2 linked regions of the Tamandua tetradactyla genome follow. The protein of the gene in region 1 purifies or fractionates together with the protein of each later gene. This does not show direct contact. Links are inferred from orthologs where the notes say so. Each region holds a gene or a part of one and is shown on either strand. Other genes may lie near its edges.

The links.
Region 2: the proteins of TUBB (region 1) and RICTOR purify together in Homo sapiens (affinity purification with mass spectrometry; 3 studies listed by BioGRID and IntAct, with this or other methods). This does not show direct contact. The link is inferred for Tamandua tetradactyla from reciprocal best matches to the Homo sapiens genes TUBB and RICTOR.

What each region holds. Positions count from the first base shown.
Region 1 is NC_135331.1:85,601,750-85,609,755, reverse strand, and holds the start of TUBB (tubulin beta chain), read right to left. Parts: upstream 3,255-8,006; 5' UTR 3,074-3,254; coding exon 3,017-3,073; intron 1,598-3,016; coding exon 1,489-1,597; intron 1,215-1,488; coding exon 1,104-1,214; intron 819-1,103; coding exon 1-818. UniProt on the Homo sapiens protein: Tubulin is the major constituent of microtubules, a cylinder consisting of laterally associated linear protofilaments composed of alpha- and beta-tubulin heterodimers.
Region 2 is NC_135335.1:89,140,553-89,148,539, forward strand, and holds the start of RICTOR (rapamycin-insensitive companion of mTOR), read right to left. Parts: upstream 3,225-7,987; 5' UTR 3,199-3,224; coding exon 3,150-3,198; intron 2,978-3,149; coding exon 2,930-2,977; intron 1-2,929. UniProt on the Homo sapiens protein: Component of the mechanistic target of rapamycin complex 2 (mTORC2), which transduces signals from growth factors to pathways involved in proliferation, cytoskeletal organization, lipogenesis and anabolic output.

The sequences.
Region 1 (8,006 bases):
GACTGCCATCTTGAGGCCACGGGGTGGGATATCGCAGACAGCCGTCTTGACATTGTTGGGGATCCATTCCACAAAGTAGCTGCTATTCTTGTTCTGCACATTGAGCATCTGCTCATCCACCTCCTTCATGGACATCCGCCCGCGGAAGACAGCAGCCACAGTGAGGTACCGGCCATGGCGGGGGTCACAGGCAGCCATCATGTTCTTGGCGTCGAAGACCTGCTGGGTGAGTTCGGGCACAGTGAGAGCCCGGTACTGCTGGCTGCCACGGCTGGTCAGAGGGGCAAAGCCAGGCATGAAAAAGTGGAGACGGGGGAAGGGCACCATATTGACTGCCAGCTTACGGAGGTCAGCATTGAGCTGGCCAGGGAAGCGAAGGCAAGTGGTGACACCGCTCATGGTGGCTGAGACGAGGTGGTTCAGGTCTCCATAGGTTGGTGTGGTCAGCTTGAGGGTGCGGAAGCAGATGTCGTAGAGGGCTTCGTTGTCAATGCAGTAGGTCTCATCTGTGTTCTCTACCAACTGGTGGACCGAGAGGGTGGCATTGTAGGGCTCAACCACTGTGTCAGACACTTTGGGTGAGGGAACCACGCTGAAGGTGTTCATGATACGGTCAGGATACTCTTCACGGATCTTGCTGATGAGCAAGGTGCCCATTCCAGAGCCTGTGCCCCCGCCCAGCGAGTGGGTCAGCTGGAAGCCTTGCAGGCAGTCACAGCTCTCGGCCTCCTTCCTCACCACATCCAGGACCGAATCGACCAGCTCGGCCCCCTCTGTATAGTGGCCCTTAGCCCAGTTGTTGCCTGCCCCAGACTGACCTGGAAAGGAGTTCAGAGGTAAGCTTAATTAAGAAGGTTTGGAAGCTATGTGACCATACATCTACCTTTTATCTTTTACAATAATTCCTTTAGATGTATTTCCTTTCTCCCTCAGCTGTAATGTATCCATCCTCATAATTTACTAGTTAGGGCAGTTACCACCACTACCCTCCTCCTTCAGATTTTATAACTCTCTAAAAACTCTCCACTACAACTACCTCCAAACCTTTTCTATTTTCACACACCTAAATAAATTGAATATGATGGTATCTACTAACAACTCACCAAAAACAAAGTTGTCTGGTCTGAAGATCTGGCCAAAAGGACCTGAGCGAACAGAGTCCATAGTCCCAGGTTCTAGATCCACCAAGATAGCACGAGGAACATACTTGCCACCTATAGGGGAGAAAGTACAGGAATGAGAATTGGCAGGTGGGGAAGATAAATAACATATTAGGGTTAGGAAAGAGCCTGAGACCTAGACTTGTGATTCCAAACCCTGCCACCAGGTGGCAGCAGAACTAAGCTTTGGTTCCAGGTGGGAGACGGGGAAGAAATCAAAATGAAAGGTCTCCAAAGGACGAGGATTCATCCAAAGGGGGTTCCTCGGGAATGGAGACATGAAGCAGGATAATATAGGACCCCAAGCCTTCGGGGCACCTTCTCTCACCTGTGGCTTCATTGTAGTACACGGAGATGCGATCCAGCTGCAGGTCGCTGTCCCCATGGTAGGTGCCGGTAGGGTCGATGCCGTGTTCATCGCTGATGACCTCCCAGAACTGCCGGTTAAGAATAATGAGCCCACAACCGCTCAGATCCCAACTATCACCTTCTTTCCCCTATTTTAATTCCAGTCGCGCCCATGGTAGGTGCTGTACGAGGGCCCGGCATCCCCTCAATCCCCCAGCCACACCCTTCCCCTAGACACCCACAGCCCCGGGGTAAGCTGCAGCTTCTGTGTTTTATTCAGCTCATTCACGGTTTGGGGAAAGTGATGTGGGACTGAGAGGACCCGGAGGTATCAGGCACCCGGGTGGGGGAAGAGAGAGGGAGCAGGCGGACCCGCCTAGGTAAGCCCCGCCCCCGCCGGGCCCCGCCCCTCCACGCAGCAAACAAAGGGCCGCTGGACGCAGAACTGCAGCTGCAGCCCAGGCCCCCAACTCGGCCTTCATGTGACTGCAGCGCACGCGCGGGTCTAGCCGCCGACAATGGGAGGCGTCGCGCGTGGGAGAGGCGGGGCCAAGGGCTTGAATTACGGGCGCGTGGGGCGGCGCCCGGCTGGGGCTCGCGCGCCCCCGCGGGCCAGCAGGACCGCATTGTCCTCGCGCGCCTAGGGCGCCCCGCCCCGCCGGGCCCGCCCTTCTGCTACAACGTAGCAGCGGCACTTCCTCCCGTCCCCTCCCCCGCTACACTGTAACCGCGCGCAAAAAAAAAAAAAAAAAAAAACCCTAGGCCTTGGAATTTTATTCCTTCGCTAAGTTTCTTTTTCTTGCTTTAAAGGAGGGTTGCCCCTCTCCCACTTAGTCTCCTACGGCTATTTTAAGCGGGCATGCTCCCTCCTTTTCTTCCACCCTCTCCCTATCTGTTCACTCCGTTAAAGGATCTCGTTAAGGAAAAATGAAATAAAATTGATCACGTACATTTTATCCTTTCATTCACTTAAAACTACAGGGACCGGAGCCGTGCGGGGGTCCCTTATCTTTTGTTAAGGGGGCCGGGCAGCAGTCCACATGGCGCATTGTACCCCACCCCACCCCCAGTTAGGCTAGACGCCCTCTGCAGCTGCCCGCCCAGCCTCGCCCCTTCCCCCTCGGGCTTCGCCCTAGGAACTCCCGCCAAGGGGGGGGGGGGGCGAGCGCGAGATGCACATGGGGCAGGCTCGCCTCGCTTTGTCTCGGGAGGTTTCCGCATCTCGCTCCCCAGTCCTCGGACCGTTAGGAGATCCTCTAAGTGCAATTTTACAACTCCTCGGTTTTCCCGCCCCCGAAACCCGAAGGGTCCTTTCCGAAAGTGAGCCTGCCAAGAAAAATAATCCCCCATTTTCCAAAGGCAAATTCTAGCCACAAATATGTATAAAACTTCCCCCCCCCCAGCTTAAGGATGGAGAGCACGAATATCCCACAATCATTCTTCATAATTTAAGGCTTTCCTTCTTCCTGCTCAAAAGAAATACAGTTAAAGAGATTTAAAATCCTTACCTTGGCACCGATCTGGTTGCCACACTGACCAGCCTGGATGTGCACGATTTCCCTCATGGTTAAAATTTATTTTAACTTTTTGCTCGCCTCAAAGTGTGTGCGGGGCAAGAGAATGATATGGAATCTTTCCCTCCGCGGGTCGCAAGCTGGCAGGATGGCTCGTGGCCCGGAGGCTGGAGCAGCAAGGTCCGAACGCGGCAGCAGGAAGGCTTTGAGAGGGAGAAAGAAGGAGGGGGGAGGGAGAGGGAGGGAAGGCGGGCAGGGCGGGGCGCGCGTGCGCGGCGGCTGGGAGGCGGGAGAACCGGCCCCGCGCGGCGGTCGGGAGACAAAGCCTCATCCACGCTGGCCCTGATTAGTTGATGGCAGTCATATACCAGCCGTCCATTGGTCTCGACTCGCAGTGGACGAGCGCGCTCCTCTCTGGGAGTTGTAGTCCTCTATTGTTGTCCACGCCGCAAAATGAGGTGACTAAAGGGTGGGTACCGGGTGATTTTTTTTGTGTTTCGTTTTCTTTTGTTCTTTTAATGAAAAATGATGACCTTGTGCAAGATCGCTTTCTTTACTCCTGAGTTTTTTTGCACAGAAAGGGAGTTTTCGAAGATACAGGAATTGGGAAGACTGAGATGCCAGGCGTTGGGAAGTGGGGTGGGCACGCCCAGAAAGCTCCCTGCTGCCTTAGCTCTTGAAAAGATAGGAATGCTTAGTTCAGCGAAAACTGGGGAGAAATGCGGCACCCTGCTCTGCTACCCGACGTCTGGTTCTTTGTTGACCAAACCTGAACTCCAGTAAACCACTGCGCCTCAGGAAGCAGTTGGGGATTGTCCTTCTCTTATTTATTCGCTTGAGAATTTTCGAATGATGTTTCGAAAGAGAAACAGTATTGCAGCAAGGACTTTCCAGGATAGAGATGTAGCTGCTGGAGGGTATGTTCAAAGAATAAGTTGAATGGTTTAGGCAAGTTGATGTCAGAGTACTGTGAAGCCAGAAGTTTCAGTCCAGTAGGGAATCTGGGCCTCATGTGGGCGTTGTAGACATCTTGGTTTTCTTGTCAAGCAAGGAACTATGGAGTTATATGTCTGATAGAAATAGCAGGGTCTTTCCAGCTTGCCTTTCTAGGTACTTTGATGAAGGCAATGTTTTTTCAGTTTGCTGCTTTCATTTGTAGCTAACTTCAAGAGCTACAAATGAAATGGGGAGAATGGGGGGATCGATTGGTAAGGAGAAATCGGATGGGATCCAACAATGCCACTCTGACCAAAAGGGAAAAGAAGTGTAACAAATAAGGTATCAGTGGCTGAGAGAGGTCGAGAGGCTACTCTGGAGGTCACTCTTAAGCTTCAGTTAGACATCGTTACCTATCATAACTTGCCAAACCCTAACCAAAATCATTCTTGCCAATCCTAAGAGTGCCCAGGGAAATATATAAGATTCTACCAAAGTTCCGTGCATTAGGGTTACCTACAACCTCCAGATGGGTCCCTGGACAAGATAAATCCTGAATGCAGAGGGGCCATCCTCTCCAGAACATCAACTGGTTCCATCCCCCATCCCATATTTTCAACAGCCCCCTCCAACGTGAAAAAGTTAGAATGGACATAGCCCAAATACCCCTAGAGAGTGGGAGAAAGCTCAAAGATGATGGTGTAGTTATACAGAGAAGGTAGGGTTTAACAAATGAGTATGATTGCTGAATCATTCATTACATTGATATTTATTTTCATCTCCAAGTGTCTTAGAGCAGCTAGAAGTAAAAACCTAAAATTGTGGAAGTGTGACCCATACCAACCTCTGAAAACTGTTCTACAACTAATTGTTGCCATTTGCTTTGAAATTTATTGCTTTTTTGTATATGTTATTTTTCACAAAAAAAGTTGATTGTGATTATAAAAGCACAGCTATATGATGATATTGTGAATGTGCGCTTTGGATGATTACATGGTATGAGAATATATAATATAAATAATCTTAAAAATTGGATGGGATGATGTCACAGTAGCTTGCCTTTTGTTCCCAAATATCCAGTCATTTGATAGATATTACGTGTTCATCAAACCAGAAGCTAGAGATACAAAAATGATTAAGAACTAGCGTCCTGTCTTCCAGGACCTCAGTTTGATGAGAGTTGGATAAACATAGTAACAATAGTGTGGGAAGCACTATAATAGAGATGTGATTTCAAGGTCGTCATTGTTAATTCACATTGGATTTAATACATTTCTCAAGTCACCTTCTAAATAATGGAATATCAAGTTGTGTAAGACCCTTCCTCATCTAGTCACTTTAGATAGAATATTTTATGTTCTATACCATGATCACAACGAAAGCCATTATTTTGTGGCAGTGGAAAGAGTTTAGAACTTAGAGGACTTGTTTCGAATTTATCTCTACCTTACATTAGCTTTAGGAACCTTGGCAAGTCGTTTAAACCGCAGAGCTTCAATTCCTACGTTTGTTAAAATCTAGTTCTGCCTCTTGTATTATGTGGTCAGAATTAAATGAGAACTAATGGGAAAAATAAATGCATTTCAAAGTGCTGCAATTCTTTTCATGTCAGCTTGAGATACTGAAATGATTTTATTATCCTCCCACTCGTTGAAAGGTGCGGACAGATCTCAGTAATCCTTTTAAGACGGTTAGCCCAGCAGTTCTCTCTGTTCGCCTAGGGATCTGTGCTTTAGGAAAATGACCTCAAAATCTCCGTCAGTGATGTATCCCCAAGAAGAAATGACATGACCTCTGCAGAACAAGACAAGTCAAAAGGAAATGAAATTCCATTGCTATGAGGAGTCCTCAAGCGCCACGCCTACGGCCTGTTCGCACTGCAGCCTGCAGCCACGACTGCAAGCCGCAACCCACTTCTCATGAGTCAGCGGACACCATGTCTGGGAGGACCGAGAAAGGACGCCCTGGCCGCACCAAACGCATTGAGCGATGGCTATCGTATAGCCCTTCTATCCTCCGCAAGCAGCGGGCGCCAAACTCTATGGTCACGGTTTGGAAATCTGCGCGGGAAGTGGGCAGTGAGCGGTGAAGCGGCGGTGGGTTGTCCCTTGGAACTGCCCAATCGAGGTGCGTAGTTGCCTGCGCGCAGAGCAACATCGGATTAGTGTCTCGCAGTGTCCTGCGAGAAGCTGCCCGGGCGGGGCGGGGTGGGGCATGCCGGGGGTGGAGTTTGGGCTGCTTCAGCGCGGGAGGCTCCCCCAATCAGCGTGCAGCCGAGCTGTGAAGACAGCCTCAGGAGCCAATCAGCGAATCGGCTCCTTCCCGGCGTCCGCGCTCGCGCCACCTGGATCGCGGCCGTTACTAGCGGCGCGCGCGACGACTCAAAGTAGGTGAGTTCTGGACGCCCAGTCCGCTGCTCCCCGGGTGCCATCTTGATTCTCCCGGAGGGCGGGAGGGGCGTGCCCTAGGGGCGCCTGGGCGGAGGCGACTCGGAAGTTTGCTTCTGGGATTGTCCTGCCCATCCGCACCTGACGCCCCGCCCCGAGCTTAGGTCCGAAGACGCAGGGAGACGTTGGATCCTGAGGGGACCCATTGGTGTAAGGTTCCAAGATGGTGGCCCTTGGGTTGGAGTCAAGGGTCGTGGGGGACCCGCTTAGTTGTTCACAGGGTCGGAGTTAACACTTTTTCCTACTTGTCACCAGTCAATGGTTTCTCTCTAGGGTGGCATCTTTTTAAGTGGATTCTACCCGTGTTATTTTGAGTTTACATCTCCTTCCATTTGTTCTTTTTTCGATAAGCTCGGCGATGTAACTCTAGGAGGGCAAGGTTAATGGCCCTGCCCACGAATGGGTGTTGAAGGCCCAAATGAAAGTAATAGTTCCAGTGTGATAAGAACTGTTAGGAGAGACACGAGTCCATTGATCCCTGTGGAACACACAGGATCCACCAGGCGTCCTGGAAAGGCTTTGCTGAGGAAATGACATTTAAACGGAATTTTGAAGAATAAGTGGGAGTTGAACAAGGAAACTAGGAGTGAAGGGCAAGGGCAAGCTGGGCTAAAGCAGGCAGGTGTAAGGAGATGCGGGGATAGTATGTTGAGAGATAGGGGAGAAGGCCCATTTGGCTGAACCATAGGCTGTTGGGGCAGGAAGGTTAGTGCATTGCTGGACATGAGGTTCAGCTAATTGAGGGTTTTACTAAAGAGTTTAGGTTTTTGTTTTGTCCTGGGATCATGGAAAGCCTTCAACGGGTATTGACAGAGGCGAGACATTATCTGGGTGATCTTGGACATGTTCTTTAACACATCTGTGTCACAGGTTCTTTTATCAGAAAAATGGGAGCTACCAGCTACCTTAAAGTGTTTTGTACAGGTTAAGTGAATCAGTCAGTGTGAATTAATTAAAACAGTGCTTTGCACAAAGCAAGCCTCTGTATGTCACCAGGTATTGTGATTCTTTGCAGTTTTCTCTGACCACACTATATGGCAAAGTGTAAAACACATGGACCTTGCAGCCAGAAGCACATTTATTCCTGTCCTTTCCATTTGCTGTGTTATCCTGAGCAAATGATTTAATATTTTTAGTCTTAGTTTCCAAAATGCCTTTCTCATATGGCCGTTAATGCCAGACATGTAACACAATGCCTGGGCCATAGTTAATGTTCAGCAAACGTTTGTTCCCTTTAAAATTATGTTTTTCAGGGTGGGCAAAGGTGGCATAGTGGCAGAGTTCTCACCTGCCATGCCAGAGACCCGTGTTGGCTTCCTGGTGCCTGCCCATACAAAAAAAAAGAAAAATTATGTTTTTCAAACTGAATTATGACCCAAGAGTAAATAGTGAAATCAGTGTAGTGGTTTGCAAATTAGCATTTAAAAAACAGAGAATTTAAAAAAAGAATGAAAAGATATCAGTGTATTGTAAATAGTAGGGTTTAGCATTATTTCTCAAAACCGTATTTTTATAAATAAGCACAAAGGTTTAAATATATCTGTACCAGGAGCCATATCATTTTCTACTTTATGTCATCATCAAAAATGTTTGAGAAATAC
Region 2 (7,987 bases), on another chromosome or scaffold:
ACTGTCCTATTTTTCTAAGTGTTAAACATCAATCAAGGCAGTCAACTTTCTTTTCTTAATAACAAAGTAAAGAGTTGGATATTCAAAACTCAAAAATAATTATTTTCTAATAAATTATATTTTGAATGAATGTGAACACAGCTGTGTCTATGTTCTGGGGATTTACTTTGAATAAAATAATTAAACTATATTAGAAAGATAAGTTATTCAGTATCAGGAACAAATGCACTACTGAAATGATAAAAAATGGTCTCTCCTAGAAGGGAAGTGGCTAAGGGAAGCATTTGGATTTCAAAATAGATGTGAGCATGCAAAATAGAATAATGATATATTAGCAAATTTCAGGATCTTTCACAAATTAGGTAGTTGTCTAAACAAAACTGAAAGCAACATTTACCAATAAATTGTACAATCTATGACAATAAAGTTCCTAAACTAGGTTAAAAGGTTTCAATTAACAATTTTTAATTAAGGTACACTATTTATGAGCACTAATACTATGTTTCAGTACCAGCACCCAGTACGAAGCTTTAGTACCAAAACCAAAGAAATTCTCCCAGACCTCAATTTGGCAAGGTAAGCCAAGCCATCATTACATATTGTAATCTAATCCAAAAACTGCTACTCTTTAGCTCCAACCAACTATGTCTTTTCTGAAGTTATTCCTAAAGTTTAATTTCTCATGAACTTTCACGTTAGATCCATAAGCCTTCTTTTAACAAGGAAATGTGTGTCAGAGTAACAATTTGTTTAAACAATAGTGTCACTATATAATGAATCTAATTCAGATTACTTTTTATATTCTAAATTTCCTTAGAATTTAGGAATACAGTCCTCATATAACCTTTCACACTTAACTGTATATTGCCTTTGCCTTCAGTTTCAATTGACTGTGTATATTTTACTACGAACTGAAGTAAATATTGTTAGGGCAAATAGAAACAGCATTTTCTGCACAGTTTATATTACCCTGGAAATATCTATGGACATTGTAGGAGTTTATAAACTGCTTAAGGAATATACCATTTTAAATAGTAAAAACAGAGTTATCTGTATACTTAAGTGAAACTGCAGCAAACTAATAGCATCAAATCAAATTCCTACATAATTTTGTACAACCATAATCTTGTACAACCCAGAATTCTGGCACTAATCAGAGAACTCACTATATATAAAACCTCGGCAAACTCAGCTTAAAACACAGTCATTACTTATAGTCAGCACCACATCCTAGCAAGTTTTTAACGCACAAATAAAATCTACCTAATAAGTACTCTATGCACTTCCATCTAAAAAACATACATTCATAGATAAATTAAATCACTAACACTACATCTGTTACAGGACTGGATTGCCAAGTTTCTGCTCTTGAAGAAATTACGTTCATTTTGTTAGGAAGTTTATAAGGAAATCTTTTTCTACATATATTTTATTCATATTTCTCATATGTGTGTTATATACCACATACAGTCAAGTTTCTAAACTGTCATACAAAAGTCAAAAACTTTACATCTCTACACTAATTCTCAAAACCTATCTGCTGGAAAAAATGTTCTGATTTAGTACACTGACGATCTAATTAATCCCCATTTCTATTATTTAAGCCCTACTATGTTGTATTTTAGAAACTCTTCTGCCTGTAAAGGATATATGTTTACAGAAACCTAATCCTCGAACTTTCAGAATAAAATATCGTTACAGAAATGCACTCTTATAGTTCAAAGAAACTAATCCTACAGTTTCTAAGGGTAATCTTACATTATGCTAAACAAAATAAAAGATAATTCATTATTCTTTAAATATAGATATGAGACTCAACAATAATCCCACCTCTAACAAATTCTGTAGATAAGAATAATTATGTCAAGTACAACAAAGGGTAAAAAAGCAAAAACTTTTATTTCATATAGAATGTTTACAACGACTTTTTTTTTTTAATAACTTCCTAGGGTGTTTTTTCAGATCTCAAAACGGAAAGTGATTTGTGTACCTGAATCAGATTACACTAAGCTATAGTAGGTATGAAATAGGAATGTTGGAATCAGTAAACGAAATCGAGTTTACTGTGGAAAAGAAAAATCATGTATATTACTAATAAATTGTCAACAAGACATCGTCGAATAAACTCCAGTACGTCGACTGGTAATAGAAATACTGACTTGTAGCAGGATTAGTCCCTTAAAAATATAACCGGGGTTTACCCAGTTCAGAAGGTGTAAACAAACCCATCTCCACTGCAGAAGGTAAACAATGAACCTGCATCAGGGTAAGGGGGCAGTCTTTGCCAACTACTGTCCCAGCGGCCGAGAAAGGAAAGCAGGAGGGAATACAGTTTATACACTTAGCAGCGAGGATCCGCTCCAGGACTCAATACCGAGTTATCAACACTGGGGTCCCCCAAGGCGGTGGGCAAAGAGAAAAGCAGTCACGCAATCAGCAAGCACTGAGAAGGTCCAGTTTCTGATCCGGGGGACCGGCAGGGCAGGATGTGGTCGCTCTTCCCTCAGACATCCTCTTGCAACCTAAATAACAACTCTACCTCCCTTCGGCCGCCCCCAGGATTCAACTGTACGATCTCTGGGATAGGGGTAAAACGCTCCGGGGCGTTCAGGGAATCTAAAGGGTCACCGGCCCGCCGAGTCCCTCTGGGGGCTCCCAGCAACCGCAGCACCCGAGGCCGGGAGGAGGGCGAGGGGCAAGGGAAGTAGCACCAAGAAGGGGGATGGGGACGGTCCGGAGAGGCGGCCCCGGGCTCGGTTCCCGCGGGCCGGCAGGCGGGGCTCCGGCTCTGCCCCCGCACCCGCCGGTCCCGAACGGGAGCCCGCCCCTGCCCCGGCCCCGGCCCCGGCCCCGGCCCCGGCCCCTGCCCCCGGCCCCGACTCCTCCCCACCAGCACGCCCTCGCGGGAGCCCGAGGCGCCGTGAGTTACCTCGCGTCAGATCCAGCGGGACATTCTCTTCGCCGCTGTCATTCCGCCCTGCGAGAAACACAGACACACAACCCACTTAGGATTCGCTCGCAGGCCAGCGGCGGCAGCCTTGGATACAGCCAGCGCCCCGGTTCGCTCCCTCCACCCAGGACCAGGGGGAGGCAAGTGCCAGGGGTAGCGGGCGCCGAACGGCATGCGGCGAGGGCTGCAGCAGGCTTACCTCGTATTCGAAGGTTCTTAAGCGAGCGGCCGCGGCCGATCGCCGCCATATTGACGGGTTTCAGTCACAACACCGGAAACCTCGCCCAATCGCGCGAGAACCCCTTCCCCTCCCCGCGCGCCGTGCCCGCCCTCCCCCTCCCCGCCCCGGCTGCATCTCCTCCGCCCCTTGCTCGCCTGAGCGTCTTTGGGTGGCGCGTGGCCGGTGGCCCCGCGTCTCGGAGCAGCTCTCAGCGCCCACCCGGGATGAGGAGAGGGCGGTGCCGGTCCGGCAATTCGAGGGCGCGTGTTGCTAAGAAGAGGCATTTCCCACGAGGGGAATCCCATTGATGGGAATATGCAGCGTGGAGAATACTTTCCCCCCAGCCGCCGCGGAACCGTACGGTCAAAACCGAGCAGGAGTTGGAGGAGGTTGGGAGGCGGCCGACTGGCCACCTGCTGAAAGCATCCTGCCGGATTCTGTTGCCTTCGAGCCTGGGATAGACAATCTCGCCCCTTTATTCTTCATTTAAAACGGTGTTTCTCAGAAACACTGCATACAGTTTTAACCTCACTTAAATCGCTCCCGAGAGTCGCTTTCCTCTAACCAAGTTAACGTGCAACAAAGTTTGTTTTTCCCTTTCGCTCTGACCATCGTGCGAGCATTCAAAACCATACTCAGGGCTTCTCCGAGTCGGAATCATTGGATGGAGGTCTTGTTTTTGACTGCCTAGCGTAGGGCGTGAGGCAGTGGCGAAGGAGCCGGGAGAGGAGGGTGGTCGTCTCCGGCGGTGGGATTGTTCCCGGGCGCGCGGTAGCGCCAGCAGGCCGGGGGGAGGGCGTTTCCTCTCTTTCTACATCCTAGGAGAGGTTGCGGAGCCTTGTGCCCGGGTTTACTGTCTGTGTAGCTTCTAGAGCAGTGGCTACTGTGGATGCGTATTGACATTGTTATACATAAACCTAATAGTTATTAACCGTTGGGCTATTTAATGGTAGAAACTGCTTTAGCTATCCAATATATATGCAGATAACCCTTGATCCCGCAACTTTCTTTCAAACTGAATTCACTTTTGAAAGAGGCATTTTCTTGCCTCCTGTTCCTCAACTGTTTTTCTTTCTACTCCATGAGACTGGAAGTTAATTGAGGTGGAGACCTTAGCCACCTCTCTTTTCCCAGTTCCCAGCCTGTGTTCATTAAACATGTTGGATGAGTAGATGCCCTGGATTTCCTCCTTGTTCCAATGCTTTTCTTGCTTTAAAATCCAATGTGGGAGATGGATTTTGCAGTTGTTTATAATAATGGAAAATTGGAAACAAATGACTAAATGTAGGGGATTGGTTATGTAAATTTCGGCAGGCTTTAAGTGATGTAGTAGGAAATACTGTGTATGATGTTAAATCAAGAAAGAGATTACAAAGATATAAGTTACGATTTTTATAAACGTTCAAAATACATATAAGTATATTTCATAATATACAATTACATATATATACCGAAAAATATGAGAAATTATATACCAAAATGTCCATTGATTCCCCCCACCCACCCGCAATTGTGAAATTTCACATGCGTTTTTAGTCCTTGTTTATCTCTATCTTTGAAGTGTTCTGTAATTAATATATATCTCTTGTACAATAAACAAAAATTTTAAAAAGAAAAAAGCGGCATAGAGGAGCATCAGGAAAATAAAACAGGATCCCTGCTTCCTTAAGAAACCCTCTGTCTGTGCAGTCCGATATTGCATTCAGATATCTGCAGTTCATGTGCACTTAAAAGATGCAACACAATTACCATACTTCAAAAGAAATGCCTCCTGACAGTACCAGAAGTTTCAGTAACAGAAAACTTGCCCCCTCTTTTAGACTTTGCAAGTCCTTGTGCAAATTACTCTAGTTACTGCATTAGGCAGTAAAACTTGAGATCTGACCAGAATATTAAAAATGTTATATTTCTTCCTTCCATGTATCACATTTCACCACTTAAAAAAAAAATGGATCTGTATCCATGGAAATTCAATTGTTCCAATTTTCAATCAGCCCTTTTTATCTGATCTTTTATATCTATTGTAAATTAACTTCTTCCTAATACAATTTAAATTCATTCTCTCAGTCTTTCATGAAAGTAGAGTACAACTGATCCACTTTTTTATTAAAGTACTTGAGATTCAGGATTTGAGAGCCTGAATCCAGTAGGTTTTCATCTTTATAACTGTATGTTCCTATTTATTCAATCACCCCTTTCTTCATTTACTTCATCTGTTAGGGCAGAAAAAAAAGTATCTTCTTTCTTCAATCTGACAATGAAACTAGTTTTTCCTGTTAACTATTTCAGTCATTTGAGTGGGTAAGTAAGGTCTTCACATTTGTTCTTAAAGTGAAAAGAGATGCCCAACAAGAAAGCAGTTTAGAGAACACATCTCTTTTAGTAAGGAATACAATTAACAATATTGTTTTTGCCTTTTAAACAATAGCAAGCACAACATTATTGATCCTAGTCTGCTGGTTGTTTTAATCCCTAAATTATTTTCTGTGTTACTGAGAATAGTTAGCTATTCCTCTTTTTGAAACTTGTTTTTCTTATTTTAGCCCACACTATGTCTTACTTATTTTGTTTGCCTCTTACTACTTCTCCAATTTTCTGTGTCATTTTGATTCTGATCTGGTCATTAAGAAAGTTACTTCCTCTTCTTAGTTATCATTTCCCAACCAGGTTTTGTGTACAGTGTCAATGAATGTTTTTCTCATAACATTAGTCATTGATAAAAAAAAAAAAAAAAAGAAATTGTATGAAAGTAGGTCTAAGATCCCCCCACTAAAAGATAAACTGATTCCAAAGATATGATGACTCTACTAATAATCACTCTCTGGGGTCTATTGTCTATCCTTTTGGGCACAGGATAATTTACATTATAAACCATACAATATCAGTTTCAGATACACTTGTAATGTTGAACAGAAACAAAAGCCTTACCGAAATCTTAGTTCCCTTTAATCTCTTTGTCTTGTTATTTAGGACATATAAAGATAAAGCAAGTTGAAAACCGCAAAATTTAGTCATCTATTTCTTGGTAACTTCTCTACATAATTAAGCCACACATTTGAGATCTAGATAAAGGCCATGAAAATGACAGTGAATGGATTAAATTAAACAAATCTTATAATCCTACACAGGGTTGATTATGAAGTTTCAGCCTTGCTCACAGCAGAAAGTAACCTCCCAGTATTAGTCATTTAAATTTTAATCTCTGTCCCAAAAGTTCTTTTAAATTTTAGTTTTTAAAATTCTGTAAGGTATAAAGGTCGTCTATGCATACAATTTTAAATGAAGAATATACTTATGTTTGTGAAAAAGAAAGATGCAGAAATATCCAAAAAGTAAAATCCTCAAAGGAATGCACTAAAATTTTAACATGGATTATTTCTAGTGTTTTTTATCCTTCTTTTCCTTGTATTAATGGTTCTAAAGCAAATTTGTATTACTTACCAATATAGTTTTTTTTCCTTAGGAAAACTATTTTAGGGATTTTTTTTTTTGACATTACTAAACTACAATTACAAACATTTGATTTTAATAATCTGCTAACCAGTGGACCTGTCAGACTTGTTTGTACATCTCATTACTAAAAAAGGAACATTTGAGCATGTACCCCAATACATGTACATCTATTTTCTTTATAAAGCAGAACATACAACATAAAGATTAAATTTAAATGGTAAAAAATAATTTTGGATTTTGCTATATTAATGGTAGAACTAAACAGCAATAGGACTGAATATACTTCCTAATTTTTTAATTTTTTGTTAAATAATTTATGAGCTAGTAATTCAGAGGACCAGTTTAAAGAGCTTATTTGGATTTGGGCTTTAGTAGCTGATATCTCACAAAATACAAGGTTAAAAATGGAAACTAAGCAGTTTCTAAATTCTAACACTGGTTTTTCAGTGCCATCCATCAGTTTTAAAAAAAGGGCCGTTGATCTACTTTGGCAAGTAAATGTCTGTATTCTCTTGTCAGTTTTCCTTGTAAACTGGAAATGTAAGATTCATAAAGTTTTAGCAAATGGTTTCAAAACCCACTGAGACACTTCATCTGGAAGATTTTTAAATAAACGAAAAAATGCTGCATACATAAAATTTAGATGTGCACATATTAAGGGTTTTATAGGTGACTAATAATTTTAATGTTTTCAGAAAAAAATCACAAAACTGGAAACATTTCAAATTTTCTGTTTTTTTAATACTCTCTTCGTAGCACAAAATTCTTTTTGAAAAGTAGTAAATTTCTTGGTTACCGTTATACCTTAAAGGAAAAGATTAGATTTAATTTTTAAAAGAGATGTCTAATACATAACATGCTACTAGAAGCTATCAGTCATCATGGAAACAAAAAAGGTTGCTGCTATATAAATATCAACCTTCTGTGTTGTACAAAAGATTTTTGTAGCTACTCTCCTCATTTCAAAGTGTGTAGAAATAAACTGCATTTTAAAGCCATAAAGATGTCCTTTATACTAAATTATCACATACAGTCCTGTTTCTATACTTATGCTCAAATTCCTTTTTAAAATTTCAGTTATAACAACTGTATCAATTTTTCATAAAACATTGCTTTTATTAAAGAAGTTGTTCCCTGGCAAAAATACACATTCTTTGATATATCGTTACTTGGGTGGCACAGGCAAAAAAAGTAGTTGTTTGTATATTTTGTTATTGAACGGAATTTAACAAATACCAAAAGCTAAAGAAAGTGTAGAAACATCTATGCTTCCATCCAACTGCACAGCAAAGCTTTCATGTTGCCTGTTGTTCAAACGCCTTTTTTTTCTAATCTTCAGCCTTTTACCCCACCCCCCACACCCC